4 linked regions of the Drosophila melanogaster genome follow. The protein of the gene in region 2 purifies or fractionates together with the protein of the main gene of each other region. This does not show direct contact. Each region holds a gene or a part of one and is shown on either strand. Other genes may lie near its edges.

What was found.
Region 1: the proteins of Got1 (region 2) and Gmppb purify together in Drosophila melanogaster (affinity purification with mass spectrometry, with the first as the bait; one large-scale study listed by BioGRID). This does not show direct contact.
Region 3: the proteins of Got1 (region 2) and Wdr82 purify together in Drosophila melanogaster (affinity purification with mass spectrometry, with the first as the bait; one large-scale study listed by BioGRID). This does not show direct contact.
Region 4: the proteins of Got1 (region 2) and Ccs purify together in Drosophila melanogaster (affinity purification with mass spectrometry, with the first as the bait; one large-scale study listed by BioGRID). This does not show direct contact.

What each region holds. Positions count from the first base shown.
Region 1 is NT_033777.3:4,808,960-4,816,312, forward strand, and holds Gmppb (GDP-mannose pyrophosphorylase B), read left to right. Parts: upstream 1-2,484; 5' UTR 2,485-3,267; intron 3,268-4,300; 5' UTR 4,301-4,649; intron 4,650-4,679; exon of another isoform or gene 4,680-4,711; 5' UTR 4,712-4,843; coding exon 4,844-5,017; intron 5,018-5,279; coding exon 5,280-5,814; intron 5,815-6,327; coding exon 6,328-6,728; 3' UTR 6,729-6,853; downstream 6,854-7,353. Other genes in the region: Hus1-like, read right to left, coding at 1-300. UniProt on the Drosophila melanogaster protein: Catalytic subunit of the GMPPA-GMPPB mannose-1-phosphate guanylyltransferase complex. Catalyzes the formation of GDP-mannose, an essential precursor of glycan moieties of glycoproteins and glycolipids. Can catalyze the reverse reaction in vitro.
Region 2 is NT_033778.4:16,136,031-16,142,637, forward strand, and holds Got1 (glutamate oxaloacetate transaminase 1), read left to right. Parts: upstream 1-2,321; 5' UTR 2,322-2,354; coding exon 2,355-2,408; intron 2,409-2,648; exon of another isoform or gene 2,649-2,736; coding exon 2,737-2,854; intron 2,855-4,299; coding exon 4,300-4,407; intron 4,408-4,469; coding exon 4,470-4,543; intron 4,544-4,603; coding exon 4,604-5,563; 3' UTR 5,564-5,898; downstream 5,899-6,607. Other genes in the region: spin (spinster), read left to right, coding at 1-95, 157-330, 395-536, 804-928; CG30094 (uncharacterized protein), read left to right, coding at 6,258-6,264, 6,324-6,607.
Region 3 is NT_033779.5:8,372,232-8,376,437, forward strand, and holds Wdr82 (WD repeat domain 82), read left to right. Parts: upstream 1-2,229; 5' UTR 2,230-2,295; coding exon 2,296-3,249; 3' UTR 3,250-3,318; downstream 3,319-4,206. Other genes in the region: CG17292 (uncharacterized protein), read left to right, coding at 367-394, 456-522, 650-1,057, 1,309-1,683, 1,753-1,897; CG13390 (uncharacterized protein), read right to left, coding at 3,331-4,206. UniProt on the Drosophila melanogaster protein: Component of the SET1 complex that specifically di- and trimethylates 'Lys-4' of histone H3.
Region 4 is NT_033778.4:10,120,760-10,124,651, reverse strand, and holds Ccs (copper chaperone for superoxide dismutase), read left to right. Parts: upstream 1-2,077; 5' UTR 2,078-2,127; coding exon 2,128-2,142; intron 2,143-2,193; coding exon 2,194-2,837; intron 2,838-2,898; coding exon 2,899-3,034; 3' UTR 3,035-3,079; downstream 3,080-3,892. Other genes in the region: dmpd (dampened), read right to left, coding at 3,626-3,892.

The sequences.
Region 1 (7,353 bases), on a different chromosome or scaffold from region 2:
GCCTCCACCACGAAGCACAGATAAAGCTCTTCCGAGATTCGCCGAAGACACGCCTAGAACTATGTACTCCTGATCCGGGTGAGCAGCCTCCATGCGATACTCCGGAAAATACTCCTCAGCTGTAATTCCTGCCCAAACCAAGGGCGATGCAGCGGAGCTCTGATCCTCGTTCACGATAAAATGCATCTGCCGAGAGCCCAGAATCATCACACAATCTTTCGCCAGCTTGGTTAAAGTGGCCACAATGGCCTGGAACTCTTTCATGTACAGCGGATCCTGCATCAGTGCGCGGAACTTCATCTTGTCAGCAAAGAACTGTACAAGATCAGAGCAGGATCGTAATGATCAGGAAATAAAGGGAGAAAAAAGAACAAAAAACAGAGTCAAGCCGGGCAACCAAAAACTAAAAAGGCATCCAAATCTACGCAGCGTTCCCTTAGGGTTGCCGTTCGCTAAATCTCAAATATTATACAAAATAGTTTTCATTTTCCATATAACCATAGCGCTGAGACTGAAATCTGGGCTATCCAATAACTGTAGAATTCGCAATTGTTAAAAATGCAACAATGCATAATGGTCATTGCAATATTTTGATTTATTATAAAAATCGATTTGTATGGAACAGGGGAAAAAGAGCTAACCCAAGCTCAATATTTCAGATGTTCAACAGTTTATAGTACACCCTAATTCAGAGGAATTGCATTAAATGCCATTTGTTAGCACTAATCCTATTTGAGACGACCCAATCAGTCAGTTGATATTTCGAATAAACTGTTTTGCCATTCTCGTAATATTTCATTCTTAGGAATTACACGGATTATTTATTTTTTGATCGGAGTCATTTACGTCCCACTCACTTAACATTTTAGGTAAGTCTTGGATCTGGGATGGACGTCATCTGGGTCAGCAGACGAAGCAACCTGATCAAAGGGTTCTAAGTTGGGATGAAGACGACGAATACGAGACGACTTCGGGACCCCTTTTCGGGTGGTTAATGAGGTGTGTGGACTACGGCACCAGAGGGAGGGGATGGGTCGGTTATCCGACTTGGTCTCCACTCGTTCTCACTCTTTTCTTTTCTTCTCGAGTTCGAATTTTTGAGTTCAATGTACAAAGGCGCACACACACACGGGCGCCAGCGAACCCACACACACAGCACACTCGCTCGTCCATCGCACATACACACGGCGAATGATGAAAACGGAAGAGGGAGGGGGAAGGGAAAGAAGAGCCAGGCAAACAAAGCGCAGAGCGAGTTCCGAGTTGTGTTTTGGCTCTTCTTTTCATTTATTTATTTGTATTTTTGTTGGTGGGCGAAGCGGTGAGCAGAGAGCAGGCTAAACGAAACGGAGCTCGACGAAATGAAGCACGCAGTCAGATACAAAGACTGCCTCGTTCTCCTTGCACACAAAGTCATCAAACGACAGACAGGATTTGTACGGCTCAAGTGTAGGGGCGGCTCCAGGGTTGGCTCCCGGGGCGGGGAGGGTGTTGCCAGGGGGCTCCGGGGGCGGAAATCAAATTATATCCCGTCTAGGGGGTCAAAATATTTCCTTTCGCAGTTCAATCAACCTTCAAGGTTATTGATAATGAAAATGAGCTCAAACGTTTATGCGTGGCAGAGTGGTTAGTGGATAACAAGAAATTTGGCAGTACCTCAGCGATTTTCCATTTGCTTTTAAGAGTTCTTTCAGAAATGAACTGGTACTTACCATATTTTGTTCTTTCCATACACATGGGTTGTTTGAGTTGCTGTATAAGTTGACAAAGCTAGTAATACTATGGCATCAGGAATGAAGGAAGCATACAAAAACTGATGTAATAATCCCTAAAATTCAGAAAAAGTACGTCACTGAGTTCTCCGGGTTGAGTTTTGTTCAGTGCAATGAGGGCTATTTTATGACATTTAGTAGGCCTTTTAGGAAGGGCAACTCTAGCTCGCACGACAGTGCTGCCTATTTGGCAATCAGCTGTTTATTTTTTCTCTTTAAAAATTGACCTATGACGTCACAGCAGCATAGCGAATTTCACAAAGAAGCGAAAAAAAATAATGGCTACACAAATATGTATATATATGTATCTGCTTTCTTGCTGAAACCCTCGCGTCATTGAAACGTATCTAAACGTATGTATCTATGTACATATGTACGTTAACAATTAAATATTAAAATTCAAACAAATGCTGGAGAGGGGAGGAAAGAATATTAAAGTGCTGAAAAGAGGCCAAAAATTGATCAGAAAATAAATATGCTGAGAATAAGAAACGTGATTGCCTTGCAGTCTCACTCACTAACTCACACACACTCACTCTAAATACATACATACATGCTAGCATGGATGGAGCACCACCCGCTGAAGTTTGCAGCATAAATAAAAGAGAAAGTAAAACTAAACAAGATGCGCTCGACCCCCACCCACCCCTTATCAAATAAAAGAAAATACCAACTCGAATAGAATAAAAAGACACACATACGTATTCATCAGTGGATAACCTACACGAAAGACGATCAAAATTGATTTGCGAGAAAATTCTATTCGTAAATTTATCAACTAACTATTTGGAAAATCATTCATTTGGAATTGTAATCACCTATGCACTTTGGTATAAGCTTTTCTGTGCACATTTTCCTGGAAAATGAATGAGACTCCTCGGCAGCCATTGTAAAAATCAATATTGGAGATTGCCCTCAGAAAAAAGTGCACTTAAACCCAGATGTCACTCAATCAAAAACTTCTAATTGGGAAAGCACAAATTTACCACACTTTTCCGAGCCTTCGAAAGGCATAAACCTTCACAAATCGGTGGGAAAAAGTAATAGAGGAAAATACAATTCGGTCGACATTTTGTTTTCCGTCTCGCTGGTGCCTATTTGAAACGTAAGCGTGTGTATGTGTGCGTATGTGTATCTCGTCTGAGCTCGGAGCCCCATAAAATCAGTGGTCAAATTACTTCTTCGTATCGCCATAGGCTCGCCTTTGCAAAGCTTTTTGGTCTCCATGGCGTCCGCAGCAGTCGCACTTACCTTTCAACCAAATGCAGAAGTTTTCTCTAAGTATGCACAGTTTTTATACACTCAGCAATTTTCACACGCGACGGAAAACAATGTGCACCAGTGAGACCGCGTCTTGCTACGAACGACTATCGACATCGAAAACCGATAACGATACCGATGGGGAATGCTTTGTTTATTTGAATGTGAACGATGCATTTGGGGCCTTCCGTTACCTTCGCCGCAGACCGCATTTGGTTTGTAGGCGATATGCATGGTAATTATAATTATAGTGATTTAATTAATTACAATTATAATTGTATTAATGTATACAGAAGTATACTTTATACATAAACTTACATTGAGTTGCGTTTTCAAGAATAAGTATTGCGAAACTTTTAAGTAAGCTATAAAAAGCTGAATTTCTACTGTACATTTTAGGATTTTCTTTTTGATATATTTTGAAATGTAGGGAATAGTCAAAACAGTAATGCCGTTGAAACCTTAGAAACCATCAACCCGTTTTGCTCTCTACAATATTATTCGGGAATGCTCCGGTAATCGAATTCGTAAGAAAATTTTAATTTGTAAAACGGCCTTTTAAAAAGTAAATGCCTTTTTTATATCAAATCAGATCTTATTAACTAAGGGGAAAAAATAGTTTGCTGGTCTATTGATATTTATTAATTGATGTTTATGTTCCACATCACCATAAGATCATTTTTAGACTTAGTTATATTAAACAAAAGTAATTTCTGACCCCACCTGAAATTTGACAAACAAAATTTTGCAGTTGGCAACAAAAAGTTTCGATTTGGCAAGTGTTCATAATTATGTCGACAAAAGCTATCAGGAAGACTGCTATACTATTGGTGAAACAATACAGTATAAACAGTATAAATGCATATAAGATGTAATGAAAAAAAATTCGTAATTAATTTAAAGGAGGGTCGAAAGTACTGTTCGTAAATAATACTATTTAATTTAATTACTTAAATGGACAAAGTGCAGTGCGAACATCGGAACTAAAACTGTGAAAAAATTGGTCGCTCCATTGTCTGGAATACAGCTTAGACATCTGTTTCCTGTTTACAAAACATTCCGATCGCAAAAATTCCGCGAAAACCCGAGCACCTAAAAACGAAGTCGAAAGATTTTGCCAAATCGTAATCGAAAAAATATTACTATTACCGGAACATGCCTGATTGTGGTCTTTAGATAGGTTATTTAATTTAAATTAAACTGAAAAGTATTTTTTAAGATTCTTCAATTTAACAAGAAATGAATTTTAATAAATTTTATTAATTTAGCGTAAAATGTTCGGTGGAATCCGGCTATCAGCGCTGCTGCGAGTGGGACGAAGCGCAATCATCGCCATCTTCCGATAGTGTTATCCCAACTTTGCCAGCTCGGTTTTTATTTACTTTCCTGTGCGGCGAGTTTACTCATAAAACAAATGATAATAAAATACACAAAGACCATATTGAATGTTCAATGACAAGATCGATATTCCTAAGCCTTGAAAACGTCCATCTAAAACTAATAGAAACTATTATTGTTTTGGGACAGGCAAGTGCATCCAACCAGAAGCACAAAGGTTCTTATCACGAAAAAAGACAATTCCAAAAACAACAACAAGGAAATAGATAGCGCAACAAGGTGAGTAAACAATAAACTAAAGACAACCAACTGAGTCACTCACTTGCCTTCGTCGATTGCAGTTGTTTGACCGCTGAAACGGAATCTCGTTGTACGGAGAAAGTCTCGAGAACTTTAAGGTGTGACGTGTCGCTCGCTTACGGACTATAGAAACCGGAGAACGGAAAGGAGGCGGAAGCGGAAGCGGAGAAGTGATGTGTGGAAATCCAGCTGTGGGAAACGGGACGAGGGCGTTGATTCTGGTCGGTGGTTATGGGACCCGGCTGCGACCCCTGACCCTCAGCACGCCCAAGCCACTGGTGGAGTTTGCCAATAAGCCGATTCTTCTCCACCAACTGGAGGCACTCGTCGATGCGGGATGTCGTCAGGTATATCCAGTTTTTTAGACTAATGACGCCCAAACTGCCCCATTGCTTAGGAGAATGGAAATATGGCACATCATTCTTAAAACAAGGTTTTTTAAACACCTTTGGATGTTTAGAAAACAGTTGATCTTGTTCCATATTGGTTGCCGTTGCCAAATTTAGGGAAGACGGTTACATAACACGCTAAGAATCAAATCAACTTCCTCTAAAAGAGATTATTCTTTTGTTTTATATTTCTAAAATAATGCATACTTCTTTCTCGCAGGTTATTTTAGCCGTCAGCTATCGAGCCGAGCAAATGGAAAAGGAGCTTAAAGTCGAAGCCAAGAAACTGGGCGTGGAATTGATCTTCTCACACGAGACGGAACCCCTGGGAACAGCTGGACCTCTGGCCCTAGCAAAAACGATTTTAGCAGCCAGCTCAGAGCCATTTTTCGTGCTCAATTCGGACGTTATATGCGATTTTCCATTTAAACAACTAGTGCAATTCCATTGTAATCACGGAAAAGAAGGCACAATTGTTGTCACAAAGGTCGAAGAACCATCCAAATACGGAGTTGTGCTGTACGATGAGAACGGCTGTATAAAAAACTTTATTGAAAAGCCACAAGAGTTCGTTAGCAATAAGATCAATGCCGGCATTTACATCTTTAATCCCTCCGTGCTTGACCGGATCGAAGTTAAGCCCACATCAATAGAGAAGGAGGTGTTCCCTGAAATGACGCAGCAACAGGAGTTGTATGCAATGGATTTAACTGGATTCTGGATGGACATCGGACAGCCAAAAGACTTCCTAACCGGTACGACAGACAGAATCACTCGTTTGCTCGCTCAATCTTGATTGCCTAATTGGTCTTATCGCTTTGAAAGCAAATGTGGATGTCGTTGTTAATTGTGCTGTGCCTTTTTACCCACCCGGCTTTCGGCTTTATCTATTATTGACATTCCTGGAACTATAGCTAATGTTTGATAGAACGATTTCTTTTTAAATGAAGTGAGGCTCATTAGGCCGATAGTGGGCGATGGGAGAAACCAAGTAGAAGAGTAAATTGTTTGTTGGGTTCATGTGGATGCGATTCACGACTTATGAATACATGTACTGGGACGATACATTGCTGTCTTACTTACTTACTTACTTACTTAACTGCATAGGATCTAAGTAACGCTCATCAAATATGCGAAGTACACTGGCAATAGTCAGTTTCTTAAATGTTTTTTGGTCACCATTGAACGTTAAAAGTGAAGGCTATTGAATGGGCTTGAACACATCGACTTTATCGCTTTACTTATTGCACCATTTTATTCCTTTTCAGGCATGTGTCTGTATCTAAGCTCGCTGCGCCAGAAGCAATCCCCCAAGCTGTACACAGGCCCTGGAGTGGTGGGCAACGTGTTGGTGGATCCCACGGCCAAAATCGGCGAGGGTTGTCGCATAGGGCCTAATGTAACCATTGGACCGGACGTGGTCATCGAGGATGGCGTGTGCATTAAGCGCTCGACCATCCTCAAAGGCGCCATCGTTCGCTCACACTCATGGCTGGACTCCTGCATTGTCGGTTGGCGTTCTACAGTTGGCCGTTGGGTTCGCATCGAAGGCATCACCGTGCTAGGCGAGGATGTAATCGTGAAGGATGAGCTCTACATTAATGGAGGCCAGGTCTTGCCCCATAAAAGCATTGCGGCCAGTGTCCCAGAACCGCAGATCATTATGTGAGGCGGTGGCCCAAATCATAAATTGTAAATACAATCTATTTTTGTTCAGTTCCGCCGTTTCGGTATTCTATAAAGGTGCCTTTTGCTGAACTGCTCTCACCTACGATTTGCAATATTGACACTATGAAAAAAAAGAATAACATTTCCAGCAGTTAGCGTTGCTAACTATTTATAAACGCCAGCTCTTTCTCCTTCCCTGGCGAAGGGGGAAAAACTGACTTATAGTTTAAGCTTAATCGCGTTAGTTGAACGTTTTTGTACTTTGATAAGCGAAGCATTAGTTATACTCCTAAAATTCTATACGTTAGTCAAATATATTACATACGTATTTAAAAAATTAAAAGATTGGGCTTTTATTATTGGGCCTCTTCCGATGGTGGGATTTAAAATGTTGTGTATTTCCTAATTTCATGATTTGATTTCATATTAAGTTCAAGTTGTTCTTTGGAATTTTACTTTCTCAATAATCTAAACATCTGTACATCGATTTTTAATTGGCTGTTTGAGTTTTGGTTTAAGCATTTCGCATTCGGCCTGGGAATTTATGTTTTCTTGGTTTTGGAATTGGTTCCTGGACTAAAGGTTGCCTAGCAACCGTTTAACCAGTGGATTTGCACCCCAACAAA
Region 2 (6,607 bases):
TGGTGGTTCCCACGCGACGTTCAACAGCCGAGGCCTTCCAAATCCTCATCTCACACGCACTCGGTGATGCCGGCAGTCCGTATTTGGTTGGAGCAGTAAGTACACAAAAGAATTTCTATACTACAGTAGTAGTTACTAACTACACCATTTCGATAGATCTCCGAGGCCATCATGAAACACCTGCACAAGAACCCCAGCGACTCTGGACTGACCACCGAGCTGCGAAGCATGTCCCAAGTGGCAGGTTCCGCGATCAGTAATGCCACCCAGGTGATCGCGGAAGCCACCACCAGTTTGATGGAAACAGCACGCTCGTCAGCCTCTCAGGAAGTAGGTGGAATCCACTTAAACTTAGAGTTCACTCTGACTAACTCCCTGGTTTTGCTTATTTTAGTACTCTGATGTGGAGCAATTCGAGGGACTGCAATATGCGCTCTTCTCCACCAGTTTTGTGGAGGTGCTGGGCGGCATTTTCTTCATATTCACCGCCTGCTTTATCATCAAAGACAAGTACAATGCCACACGAGGACTGCAAGGTAAGCTGAATGGGTTGGATTCAGATCTAAATGCCCCTTTCTCAACTATCTATTAGCTTTCTGATTAAAAAGTAACCGAAAAAGTTTGAGCAAATGTAATTTGTTTAAAGAAAGGTCTATAGACTAGATTTTAAGCTAAAATGTATATAGAGAAGACTTTACACCCCTCTTTTAAAGTTAATTGTTAGAACAATGGATACTTTTTAATCAGAAGGTGTCTTATTTGCCCACTCTTTGGCTCAACTGTCTTCCGTTTGATATTGCCAGGCGATCAGGGAGCGCAGGCGGTTCGATCGTCAGTCGCCTTGGCCAGCGGGCAAAAGGACGTCGAGTCCTTCAACTCGGACTGCCTGGTCCTTTGCACTGACATCGCGCTGCGCGAACGCACGTGATAGCTAAAAATATGAAATATGCATTCTGGTGCGCGGCACCAAATGATTACTTTATTTTGGCCCAGTTCCCGGTAGGTGGAATGCTCTAAATTTCGTTAAAACGTTCAGTTCTGCGTGCGTTCCATTGTTGCGTTGTACTAATCTCAGTTACTTGACCCTAATCCATACCCTGTTCTTCATGGCTTTCTGTGTGCTTTGCTTGGCGGAACAAGTTTCTAATGAATGTGTATTAATTGTACCTTTTAGATGCCACGGCTCAGCAACAGCAGCGGGATGAGCGCGGTCAGATTGCCTAATACCAGCCGATTCTGGAGGTTATGCTGCGCACTCAGAGCTCCGATGGCATGCCGGGTGAACTGATACTGACTGAAAACCATCTTTAATTTAATTTACGGTCACTCGCACCACGCACATCCCGCATCGGATCGTACTGGAAGCTTACGGGGACGGGGACACCTTGCTCAGTTGGGCGGACAAGTTCCCGATGTTCATGTTCCTATTGGAAGGGATCGGAGGAAGGAGGAAAATGGGGGAAAGGACCACCATGCCAACACGTTCAAGCACGCCACACCGATTTGTAGATATATATACAAACAAAATCAAAAACTCTCACCCAGGCACTCACTCACTCACCAAGTCATAACATAACACAGATCATTTTACTTGTAAACGTCAAAGGTCTTGGGTACCCAGGATACCTTGCTTCACCCACGTAGTCGTAGATAGGTCTAGCTCTGGTATTTTAGACTAAATCAAAATTAGCAAGAGTTTCAAGCGGACTCGCATTCGAAGAAGTGCTCCCTCAGATCGGATAATGTAAATAGATTATCTCAGGCATCGAATGCGTAGGTCGTGCAGTTTGGATATTTATATTAACGAATGTATATTTAATATGAATTGTAAATATAGATAAGCACCGGGCCATTGTATAAGTGCGTAGTCTATTTAATCAATTTTATCATAACGCCTTAGTTTTACACTGAACATAATTTTAATCATAGCCTTAGTTAGTTGTGTAACGAATTGGAGAAATGTGTGCACCCTCAGCAATTACTGAATATTACAGCAAAACTATTTTGAACCAAAACCAACACCAATCAGTCCTCGAGTTTGCTTTTCTATTTGTTGAATCTCAATCGAATGCTAGCCTAATTGGAACGCAAATTGAAAGCGACATAAAGACTGCGAGCAATCAAATATTGGTCCATCGATATTTGGCTAAGAATAAACCAAACTAATTGTTTAGCAAATAAGGTAATCATCCGGGGCAATAAAGAAACATTTTAAATCACTTTCCTCGATTGCGTTTAATTTTTCTGGGACCGAAAATTTTTTTAAACTGGCCTTGATATTTTCGTTTTGAGTTATTTGTTATTTTACTCCTTCTGAGATTGTTGCTTCAAAATTTCAAGCAAAACTGGCGAAAATGTTTATTATCTTAAAACGACTTAATTATCCCGGTTTATTACAAAACTTCCAGGTAGGAACAGCTCTTTGAAGTCAGTGCACTAGCCCCGAAACATGAAAATCGAATTTTTCTGAAAATACCTTTTATTTAGCCATAAACGCCTGCAAAATATAAAAATTCAATTAAAATTCATGCAATCAGAAGACATTTTTTCGAATTTCCGTGTCATAATTTTTTTCAGTAATTTTTTAGTATAAATATCGATAATTTCATCGACTGAGCTTTTGTGGGCCAATTTGATTTAGACAAGTGCAGCCACACTACTTTTGGCCGTCTTTGCCGACACTATTCCAAATTAATTTATTTGTTATTGTCGCTCCGTTTGGACTTGTTTCCCAAGCTATCCACGATGTCCATCTACGCCGACGTTCCAAAAGGACCCGCCATCGAGGTCTTCGCCCTGACGCAGGCCTTCAAGGACGACAGCAATCCCAACAAGGTCAATTTGTCGGTGGGCGGTAAGTTCTAAAGTTCTATTTTCTCACCCCACCCCCCTCCTCTAACAGAATGAAGTGCATACCTATGTATGTGCATATGTTTATAAAAAGTATATGTGTATTACTTAGCCGGCTGTATTTGTGTGCGGCTCAATTTGCTATCATTTGCTAGTTGGCTTGCCCTTGCAATTCGCCACCCCCCGCACCGCTGGAACGCCCGTTTCCGTTTGCCACCCAACAGGCCACTCTGCTGGAGGTCATTTGGATGTCAATGTCGCAATGTATGAATTGCACAGATTTTTCCATCCTTCTTGCTTTCCAATTAGTTGGCTTATAACCAATTGTGGATTTTGTGTGTGTGTAAACAATTTCAAATACTCTATATGGTTAAATATTACAACCTATTTCTTAATTACTTAGTTACATATTTTGCTTATTCCATTTTGTTTCAGCTTCTCAATAATATTTAAACTCAATGTTTGCTTAAATTAGCAGCTCAAAACGTAGTATTTTAAAGCTCCGATTGTAAATATCAATCTAATTTTTTTTAGTAGTGAATTTCTTTTGCGACTTTCTTTGTTCTATATTTTCCTCTGACGTCAGCTAACACCGTATTTATTTATTGCCTATGTATGTTTTTGTGTGGCGGATGATGATAAGCCACTTGTTTTTGGCAGGTACACCACGTCCATCCATTTCCTCCAATACAATACATTCAGCCAGCGAAAATTTGAAGGAACGACAACAACAATATTGCCGCCGGGTCGTTCAAGAGCAATTTTGCTTCACCTTTTCTATATTTATGAATGTTATTGCATAATTTAAATAACAATTCCCACCAGCAGAGTCGCCGATTATTGTATTTTTGTTTTGCTCGCAAAGCCAAGAGTCATTAACCCTTGCTCGTGTAAATGATTATGCCAATTTATTCGACGTATTTTGGTTTTAATAGCATTAGAATTAATAAATATGTATATTCAATGCCAAAATCAGCTGATTTACAAAAGGTATCTTTAAACTAAACTTATATCGAATCATGGTATTTTATTACCATATTAACTCAAGCAAATGGATGTTTTAATGAGCTTAATTATTCATTCTTCTCATTTCCGTCAATTTATTGTCGTTATGGCTTGTTTATCGCGCCTTCGCTTTTATTTACAATGCTGCAAAAGTATAAACATTACCAGACCAATTCATTCAATTGGTTTCGTATAACACGACGCCAGTGCTTTTCAGTTGCTCCAATAAATAAATAAATTGGCCTAGAAACAACGCATGAAAACAATATCAAATGGCCTATAGCAATGAGGATTGATTAGGCTTGTTAAGAGCATTCAGATAAGACTTGAATATTGTACGGATTTTAGCACTTTGACCCATGTATTTCCCTAAACACTTGAGCAATCAGTGGACTTCGAATAAATTGGTTTACTCATTTGATCTTTGGTTTCGTTCATTCACAGCTTACAGGACAGATGCTGGAGTTCCTTGGGTTTTGCCTGTGGTGCGCAAGACGGAAATCAGCATTGCCAGCGATGAGCAGGTTAACCACGAGTATTTGCCAGTGACTGGTGAGTAAATGCAATGCATTTCATCAAAGTAATTTAATTAACCCAATGATTCTGTTTTGCAGGACTCGAAACATTCACCAATGCGGCCACTGAATTGGTTCTGGGTGCCGATTCCCCAGCCATCAAGGAGAATCGCGTAAGTTGGGGCTCAACCTAAAAATATGTACTCTTTTATTAGACTGCAATTTTCTTGTAGGCCTTTGGAGTGCAGACCATTTCGGGCACGGGTGCCCTGCGCGTTGCCGCCGATTTCCTGCACACACAACTGAATCGCAATGTGGTTTACTACTCGAACCCCACCTGGGAGAATCACCACAAGATCTTTTGCGATGCCGGCTTTACGACCGTTAAATCGTACCGCTACTGGGACCAAAATAAACGCGAGTTGGACTTCAAGAACATGCTGGCCGATCTGAACGATGCTCCGCCCGGTGCTGTGATCATTCTGCACGCCTGTGCCCACAATCCCACCGGCATTGATCCCACCCAGGAGCAGTGGACTGAGCTGGCCGATCTGATGGAGAAGAAGAAGTTGTTCCCGCTGTTCGACTCGGCTTACCAGGGCTTTGCCAGTGGTGATCCCGATCGCGATGCCTGGGCCGCTAGGTACTTCGTGCAGCGTGGCTTCGAGCTCTTCATCTGCCAGTCGTTCGCCAAGAACTTTGGCCTCTACTGCGAACGTACCGGCAATCTGGCTGTGGTGCAAAAGAATGGTGCTACCAAGGCAGCGGTTCACTCTCAGCTGACGCTGCTCATTCGTGGACAGTACTCGAATCCGCCCGCGTATGGAGCTCGCATCGTTTCCAAAGTCCTAAACACACCGGAGTTGCGCAAGGAGTGGATGGCCTCCATCCAGGCAATGTCGAGCCGCATCCGCGAGATGCGTACAGCTTTGCGGGACAAGCTGGTTGCCTTGGGCACCCCCGGCACCTGGGATCACATTGTCAACCAGATCGGCATGTTCTCCTACACCGGTCTGAACGAGAGCCATGTTCGTGTGCTGATCGACCAGTACCACATTTACCTGCTGAAGACGGGACGCATCAGCATGAGTGGCCTGAATAAGGGCAACGTTGAATATGTGGCCAAGGCGATCCATGCCGCTGTCACCGGATCAGGAGAAAGTGCATCATGTCCTTGCGAAAACAAATTGTAATCGTACCATTGGATCGCACCATTGGATAGATACGTACAACGACTAGCTATGTACATATATTGGGCATGCGATTTAGAAATCCCAAAGCTGGATCACAGATGTCTGCACCATTGGCATTTAAATCAAACCAACAACAATTGCAATTACTAAACGTTTATACGCGGCTTTTAGATGGATATACACATATTATACACCGGAAACGAATGTTCCACATTAAAGTAAAAACTTTACAAAAATTACGCACTATTGAAAGCCGTCGAAGATTGGTTAAATAATTTAAGCTTACAACGTTTATTGACCTGTGTGTAGTAACTAAATAAATCGACAATATCATTACTGAAGTATTTAATCTTTGGTGGGTGTGTAATTCTTTTTGTGGATCGTATTGAAGTGGGAAAATAATTGACATTGAAAACATGTTTTTAAAGTTAGCCAGTTGTATTCTTATATATTTTCCATAACACTACAACATACTTTAAATAGCTTAGAAACATTTTTAAATTAAGTACCTAAATGATTAAAAAATAAACTTTTGAAAATAACATTCATCTGCATGCACTGCTTGACGTCAATCGATCTATCGATTAACAGTCAGCTGTTTACGTCTTGCAACTTTCACCTCTAGGCTTGAAATGTAAATTTAACGAAATTAGCAAAACATCATAAATATTAGTCGAATTTTAGATATTTTTCAATGGCAGGTGCGAATTGTCTCAAGAAATGTTTAAGTTTTGGTCATTAATGAAATGATTTTCTGCAGACGATCCAAACAAGCCCTCTACCTCGTCGAAAACTGAAGATGCTCCGCTGTTCCCGCCCGCAAAACCAGGAAAAAGAGTTGACTATGGGACAAACAACACATTGGAGCTACTGGAGCGGATTCCCAGCCAGGTGGTGGATCTCAAGCTGGACGATGTGCTGACAGCCGTCAAGGAAGTGGATAACCTCTGCGACTATCCGCGCTGCAAGACCAAAACCAGCCTGATGGGCCAAGACTGCCAGCATTGCAAGAAGAGATTCTGCTTCAAGCACGGACTGCCAGAG
Region 3 (4,206 bases), on a different chromosome or scaffold from region 2:
GGAATGTTCCGAAATCGGATGTTCCACCGTAGGAGCACATGAATGATGCATGGACAGGCAAAGGCTTGGACTCCCACACGGACTTTGCCGCCGTTGGGGCGGCACACTCGTGTGAATCACGATGCTTACGATGTCGCAAGGCTTTTTTTGGCCGAACTCACCATTACTATCTTATCCGAAAAAGATTGAAATTTAATTAGAGTTATCAATTTCAATGGGGGTTTAGGCCACGCCACATTAATCCGGCCAACCGAGTGCCCGGCCCAGTCTTTGCCAATCACCGCATGGGACCAGAGGATATCCGGACAATCCACTGGCCACGTAATCAATCACTTTATGGACTAATAGCCGACAGCCCACAGAAACATGCACAAGGCCATTAAAAACAAATCCAGTAAGTAAGTGTGCGAAAATGGAAAATTCCGCTAATACAATTTGGATAATTATTAAACCAGGGCTCCTCTGCGGACTCAAGAACTCCAAGGCGGATCTAACGACAGCCAAGTTTATACTATATTATGGGTAAGAACTAATATTATTATTAGTAAATATGAAGAAAAATTATACATAAAGCCATGTTATTGCACTAATATCCAAATTTCTTAAATATATTCAAGTATTCACCTATAGCATTATCTTTTATTCACAGACCCACGGTGGCAGATAGCGATATCTATGACCTAACCGATTTCCAGAGTCTTCTGGAGGACGAGCACTTGGATTTGGGCAAGAACACCGTGCTCTATTTGCACGGCTACTTGGAAGATCCGGATGTGGAGAGCATTCACGTCATAGCCGAGGCCTATCTGGAGCGAAAGGATACCAATCTTATCGTCCTAGACTGGGGTGAACTGGCCGATGGCAATTACATGTTCGATGCCTTCCCGAACCTCAAACAGCTGGGCCCAGAGTTGGCCAAGGTCCTGCTCAAAATGTTCGACCATGGCCTGGACATTGAGAAGTTCCACATTGTCGGACACTCGATGGGCGGCCAGCTGGCCGGACTCCTCGGCCGAGAGATTACTAAACGCACCAAGGGTGTCAGAAAGATAAAAAGGTAAAATGAAAGAGGTTTGATTTCAAATTATTTATTCATGCTCGGTTCGATTTTAGTCTATGCCGACGTCATGATATACGATGTTTAATATACGATATTTAGTTAATAATTTTAATGTCCAAAGCTTAACACTTTTGTATTACCATATGGTAATACAAAAAGTTTTTTTTTAGAATCGTTGTTCGGCAAAGTTTATAAAGTTTATATTGAATCCTTTTCTTGTCTCACTTATCTCCAATCTTCTTTTATAGAATTTCCGCTTTGGATCCCGCATTTCCGCTCTTCTATCCGGGCACGCACCTGTCTGCCAATGATGCGGAGTTCGTCGACGTGATACACACGGACGCCTGGCTGTACGGAGCTCCGACGAGCACGGGCACGGCGGATTTCTGGCCAAATGGTGGATACAGCCTGCAGCCTGGCTGTCCCAAGCGAAACTACAAGATGCTCAGCGACAACGATCTGTCCAGTCATCGGAGGAGCTGGTGGTTCTGGGCCGAGAGCGTTTCGGATCGATATCCCATTGGATTCGATGCTGTGCCCGCCAAGAAATGGTCGGACTTCAAGCAGAACAAAATAGTAGAGAATTGCCCGCCCGTGGTGATGGGTCATCATTGTCCCACGACGTAAGTTTCTACTTGCCTTATATGCATAGCGCAGAATTTAGTTTCATCATTTGAAATTGTGATTTTCAGAATTCATGGCGACTTTTACTTACAAACCAACGGACATACACCTTTTGCTCGAGGCAAGGAGGGCACTGTCTACGTTGACCCCAAGGATCTGCTGGGAAATACCCACAGCATCACCTGTGACTGCCCGTCGGAGAAAACGAATTAATAAGACCATCTACAATTGCACTGTGTACATTATGAAATGTAGCTATATTAATATTGTTGTTTCTATGACGCCTTACACCACATTTTGATTTACGAGAAAAATATACTTAAATTTTGTTGTTGAAAAAAACTTTGCATTACTTTGGGGTATTTATACATTATTATTGCACTATTTGGGGTTTTAAATGAGTTTTATTAATTACTTTTTTTGAATGGATTTTTTGAACTTTCAAATAATTTAAATCTGGTTGCTGGTTCCGCTCTTGCAATTCATTCCGGAACCAGTTCGAAAGTTGCGATATCGATAACACAGCTATCGACCCGTCAACCTCTGCCACCGATAACATTGTTTGCAACAATTGAGCATATTGACAACAAAACGAAATTCGACAGGCTAAAATGAAGATAAAACTAATAGATTCGGTGGTGCGCAGTTTTAAGGTGGCCAAGATCTTCCGAGAGAACACGGACAAGATCAACGCCATCGATTTTGCGCCCAACGGCGAACATCTAATATCCTGCAGCGAGGATGACCAGATCGTGATCTACGACTGCGAAAAGGGGACGCAGTCGCGCACGGTGAACTCGAAGAAGTATGGAGTGGATTTAATCCACTTTACGCACGCCAACAACACGGCCATCCATAGCTCCACCAAGGTGGACGACACCATACGCTATCTCAGCCTGCACGACAACAAATATCTGCGCTACTTCCCCGGCCACACCAAGAAGGTTATCTCGCTGTGCATTTCGCCGGTGGAGGACACCTTTCTCTCCGGCTCGCTGGACAAGACGCTGCGCCTGTGGGACTTGCGCTCGCCCAACTGCCAGGGACTGATGCATCTCTCTGGACGACCCATTGCTGCCTACGATCCCGAGGGCTTGATCTTCGCCGCTGGCGTTAACTCGGAAAGCATTAAATTGTACGACCTTCGCTCTTTCGACAAAGGCCCCTTCGTCACATTTAAACTTAATCAGGAGAAGGAATGCGACTGGACTGGCCTTAAGTTCTCCCGTGACGGCAAAACAATTCTGATCAGCACGAATGGATCGGTCATCCGGCTCGTAGATGCCTTCCACGGCACTCCGCTACAAACGTTCACGGGCTATCCAAACAACAAGGGCATTCCCATCGAGGCAAGCTTCAGCCCAGACTCGCAGTTCATCTTTTCAGGCAGCACCGATGGACGAGTGCACATCTGGAATGCCGACACTGGCAATAAGGTGTCCGTACTGAATGGTGACCATCCGGGACCGGTGCAATGCGTTCAGTTCAATCCAAAATACATGATGCTGGCGTCCGCGTGCACCAACATGGCTTTTTGGCTGCCCACATCCGAGGAGGGCTTGTAGGCAATGATTCCCGCTTGCTTAGCTTATAAGATTACAATTTAATTTATAAATAATAAATCAACATAACATAAACAGAGGCCTCTAACTGGATTCCTGGGGCTGGTCCTTGTGGCGGTCGTATCCTCTACGTATGCTGTTCAGGAGTTGTCCAAGATTATGACCCATTTTGGCACTAATGCCGAGCACGGGATTTTGCAGGCGACGTTGCAGTTCCTCAAAGTTGTTTTGGCCCTCTTCCACGTCCAGCTTATTGGCCACCACCAATTGCGGGCGACTCGCCAGACGTCCGCCAAACTGGCGGAGTTCGTGCATTAGCTGCTCATAGTGCGTCCATGGCTCCGGTGCACTGGCATCTAACACGAACAGCAACAAGGTGCAACGCTCGGCGTGCTTTAGGAACTGTATGCCCAAGCCCTTATTGCGATGAGCATCGGGCACGAGTCCGGGAAGATCGGCAATGGTGAGCTGGACATGATCATCGTACTGGACGGTTCCCAAGTGCGGACGCAGCGTGGTGAAGGCGTAGGGAGCAACCTTTGGCTTGGCCCGTGTCAGTGCATTCAGTAGGGTGCTTTTGCCAGCATTGGGGTAACCAATCAAACCCACATCCGCCATGCTGCGCAGTTCCAGAGTGTATGATAGATCTTCACCCCTAGGACCGTATTCGCTGACCTTGGGACTTGTTTCCTTGTCCGTGGTAAAGAAACGGTTGCCCTTGCCACCGGCTCCTCCTCGAGCGGCCACAAACATAAGATCCGCTTGTCCCAGATCCCCGACAATTTGACCTTGCGCATTCCTGATCACCGTCCCGATTGGAACCTTGATCACAGAATGCTTGGCGTTCTTGCCATGACAATCCTTGGAGCTGCCCGGCTCTCCTTCTTCAGCTTTCAGAACACTCCCCACGTGGTTAAAGTTGCGCACATCGTTAGAGGCCTGGAACACCACATGCCCGCC
Region 4 (3,892 bases), 6.0 Mb from region 2:
ATTTGTTGCTCCTGCAATTGAATTCAATCTTTCGCTGGCATTTGTGTATATCAATTATTTCATTCCTTTTCGATTTAAGGCTGCGCGCGTCGATGACGTATTTGAATTTTGGCACGCACACTCAAAGACGCAAAGGCGAAAAGACCGAGATGAAAAAAGATTTCGGGGTCTCGCTTGTTACGCGCTTAGTAAGCTTTTCCGCTCGCTATAAACACTAGAAAAAGCGTCAACGTGTTAAAATTTTCTGCTGCCGTTGTTGTTGCTTTGCCGACGATGCTGTTGTTGTTACTCAGATTAGTTTACACTCCCGCACTAAATCGCTGAACATGTGTTTTAACGCCGATGGTACGAAAAATACTGATTTGGTGAGCGAACGTCACAAAGCTAATATTAAAATAAATACACTAGCCCGTTATGTTTCTCTCTCTCTTCGCTCTCTCACTCTCGCTCCAAAAGAGCGTGGCGTTCGACCCGCAAATACAAATACCAATACCAAAGCCCCACTGTAAGGGTCATTCTGTGCACGTGTGTGTGTGCGTGCGTCTTTGTGGAATGCAAGTGAAACAAAGGCAAGGCTAATTTTCCGTGGCACGCACTATCCAGACCAACTTATCTATCTACATTCCCGACACACGTATCCTTCCAGGTGATTGTTTCAGAGGCTGACTTGCATTTGTTGCTCTCTCACAAAACAAGGCGACAAAAATCTTTATGCTATTTATCAACAAGAACAGCTGTTGCCATTAGTCGCTGCCCCAAAGAGAACATTGCCTTTTTGTGTGGGCGTTCTTCTCTTCAGAGTGGCTCAGGGCGTATGGCGTCGATCTGTCGTTAGGGTGGACCATCTCAGACTTGTAAAAATTATTACGGATCTGCGGAACTAACTCAACTTATATATAAGTTAATACAAACATTAAATAATATTACTAATGTGAATAGCCACATAACCATTGGGAAAGAAACTAAATTTCTTACATTCCTAGTGTTGAACTTAAGGTCTAGTAACGGTACTCTAATAGCGACTAATTGTTATCCACCGATATCATTCATCTCTATCCCTAGATCGACGTGCTAAGAAAGGCCTTAATTGACAAAGCCATGTGCCGACTCGCCAAATTTTTGGGAATTGAACGGTTTTATCATAATTCTTTGTTGTAGTGCTTCCTTTTACAGTTCTTCAATTGAAGGCAATATTAAATATTTCTCAATTGTTTTTAAATTGCTATCAATAACGGGGTCCAAGTGAAATTAATTTATTTTGCACAATGAAAGTCAAGGCGCAATTGGCTGCAATAAAGTGGCGCGCATGGAAAAGCTTCATTCATATTGGTTGCACGTTTTTTTTTTGGGCCTCAATAAGCCAGCATCTGTCGCTTGCGGTTTTTGTAGACAAAAATTAGCGCTATCAATTCCAAAAAATTAGCATCATTTGGCTTAAAAATACTCTTTATGGCCATTGATTAAAACTGTCGGCGGCCATAAAGAAAAGTTAAGCCAAAATTATAAAACGTAATATGAAGTGAATGGAGCTACAGGTCTGAAAATTAGCACGGAAATTAAATAAGTTAGCATCTAAGCTAGTTCGGGGTTAGCGTTTTGAATCGGTCCAGAAGAGTTGGACAAAGTCAGCTTAAGATTATAAAATTGTTGGTCAAACTAAACAGAAAACCAATGATTATATCCAAGGTACTTAGCCCTATTAAATTAAGCTTTAATCTATTCACTTAAAATATAGTTGTAATCTATATAAATTTCAAACATCACAAATATTATTAATATAGTCATTTTGGAAATATGGAGTGACTTAAATAGAAATACCAGAATTCATTTTCTTCATCAAAAAGCACGCAATTTATGCAAAAGTTCAAAACCGAAGCTAGTAACTTTGGTTTTGTAAATGTAAAACGTTCTACGATAAAAATATTACATCTGTGTTCTAATACGTAACTAGTAATATCAGTTCAACGTTATAATTTATTGGATAAGTGGTTTACAAACGCCTTAAACTTTCGTTCCGTGTGAACCTATCGTTCTTCGATGACAGAAGGCGCGATTTGTCTGAACCTATCGACGGCCATCGATACCAAAGTTTGTTTATCATTGTTAGTCGGCACTTTGACCATAAAAATGAGCTCCATTAAGGTAAGTATATGTTATTCGGGTCAGGAAACTTGCTTCCATGTTAATGTGCAGATCGAATTTGCAGTGCAGATGCGAAGAGGTGACGAATCCTATGCCGGTGCCCTCCGTTCGGCGCTGGATGGGGTCGGCCAGGTGGAAATTGACACCCAGGAAGGTCGAGTGATAATCCAAACCCAACGACCTTGGTCAGAGATTCAGGACAAGATAGAAGCCACAGGTGTCCGGGCCGTACTCTCCGGATTCGGCGGCCAGTCGGCGGTGGCCCTTATAAACACAACAGGAAGTGTAGTGGACAAGACACCAATCCAGGGAGTGGTTCGGTTTACCACCATTACCGCAGACAAGAAGCCTGGAGTGGTTGTGGATGGCGTTGTGGACGGTCTATCGCCTGGACTGCACGGATTACATATTCACGAGAGTGGTGACACTTCCGCAGGTTGCTCGTCGGTCGGAGAACACTACAATCCCCGCCAGTCGCCACATGGAAGCCCTGCAGCTGGGGCAGAGGAGCGGCACGCCGGAGATCTTGGCAACATCCGAGCGGATGAAAACGGCAGGGCCACCTTTAGATTTGTGGATCCAGTGCTAGAGGTCTGGGACATAATCGGAAGGGCTGTCGTCCTAACAGCCAATGCCGATGACCTGGGACGCGGGGGCAATGATCAGAGCCTGATTGACGGCAACTCTGGGGAAAGGTATGTAAATATGCCCCACTTTCAGATTGATCATTGATTTGTATAACTCCTTTCCCACTAGGATTGCGTGTGGTATAATTGCTCGTTCGGCGGGCATCTTGGAAAACTTTAAGAGAATCTGTGCATGTGATGGGGTCACACTTTGGGATGAACGCAATAAGCCACTGGCTGGCAAGGAGCGCTCACAAAAGCTGTAAACTTGTTTCCATCTTTAATCTTGTAAATAAAATTATCTTATCTCTAGGTGTCACTTTCCACATTTTGTTCTAGAAGTTTCTGTCGCGACAAAGTCCACAGAACATCAATTCTCGTTCCGCAATTAAAATTAGTATACTAAAAACCACATTCGTAGCAGTTGATTTTAATGGTTTTAAAGTTTTATTTAAAATATTTCTTTGCTGTTTTTCTTTTTGTATTTCTTAGTTAAAATTAATTTGCTTTTTAATTATTATTATCTGTTTTGCTCTGCCAATGACTGCCGGATTCGTGTGATGTTCGTGGTTAACTACAATTTGTTTTTGCGGGGCGTTAAAACCGAAGAACATACAGACACTTGTTGTACGTGATAATAATAATAATAATAATGAATAATATTCGAAATGCCTATTGCATTTGATATTAATAGATATATGTGTATATAATATTAATTTGATTCCTCCGTTAACACTACGGCGCATGCCTCGTTCCCTAATCCACATCCGTGGGGTCAGGTGAACGACGGCATGCACGCTTTATATGTAAATAAGTGGTAAAAAATATGTAAAGTGTATATGCGTAGGTCCTAATGCTTATTTACTGCGTTTGCCGGGCGTATTTACATATCTGTTGGCCTTTTGTACTCTACGTGCTTTTTTCGCCTCCTCCGGCTCCTCAAGAGCCTCCGATCCGGGCGCCACATTGTCCGTTGTCGCAGCCACCCCCAGATTCTGGGACACAGGACTGACAATCACGCCGCTTCGCTGATGATTGCCATAAAACAGTTTTGGGGAGTAGCCTCCCGCAGCTTTGGCAGCTCCTGCATTTCCGGTGGCCATCGGCTGCGATTGGGACTGGGC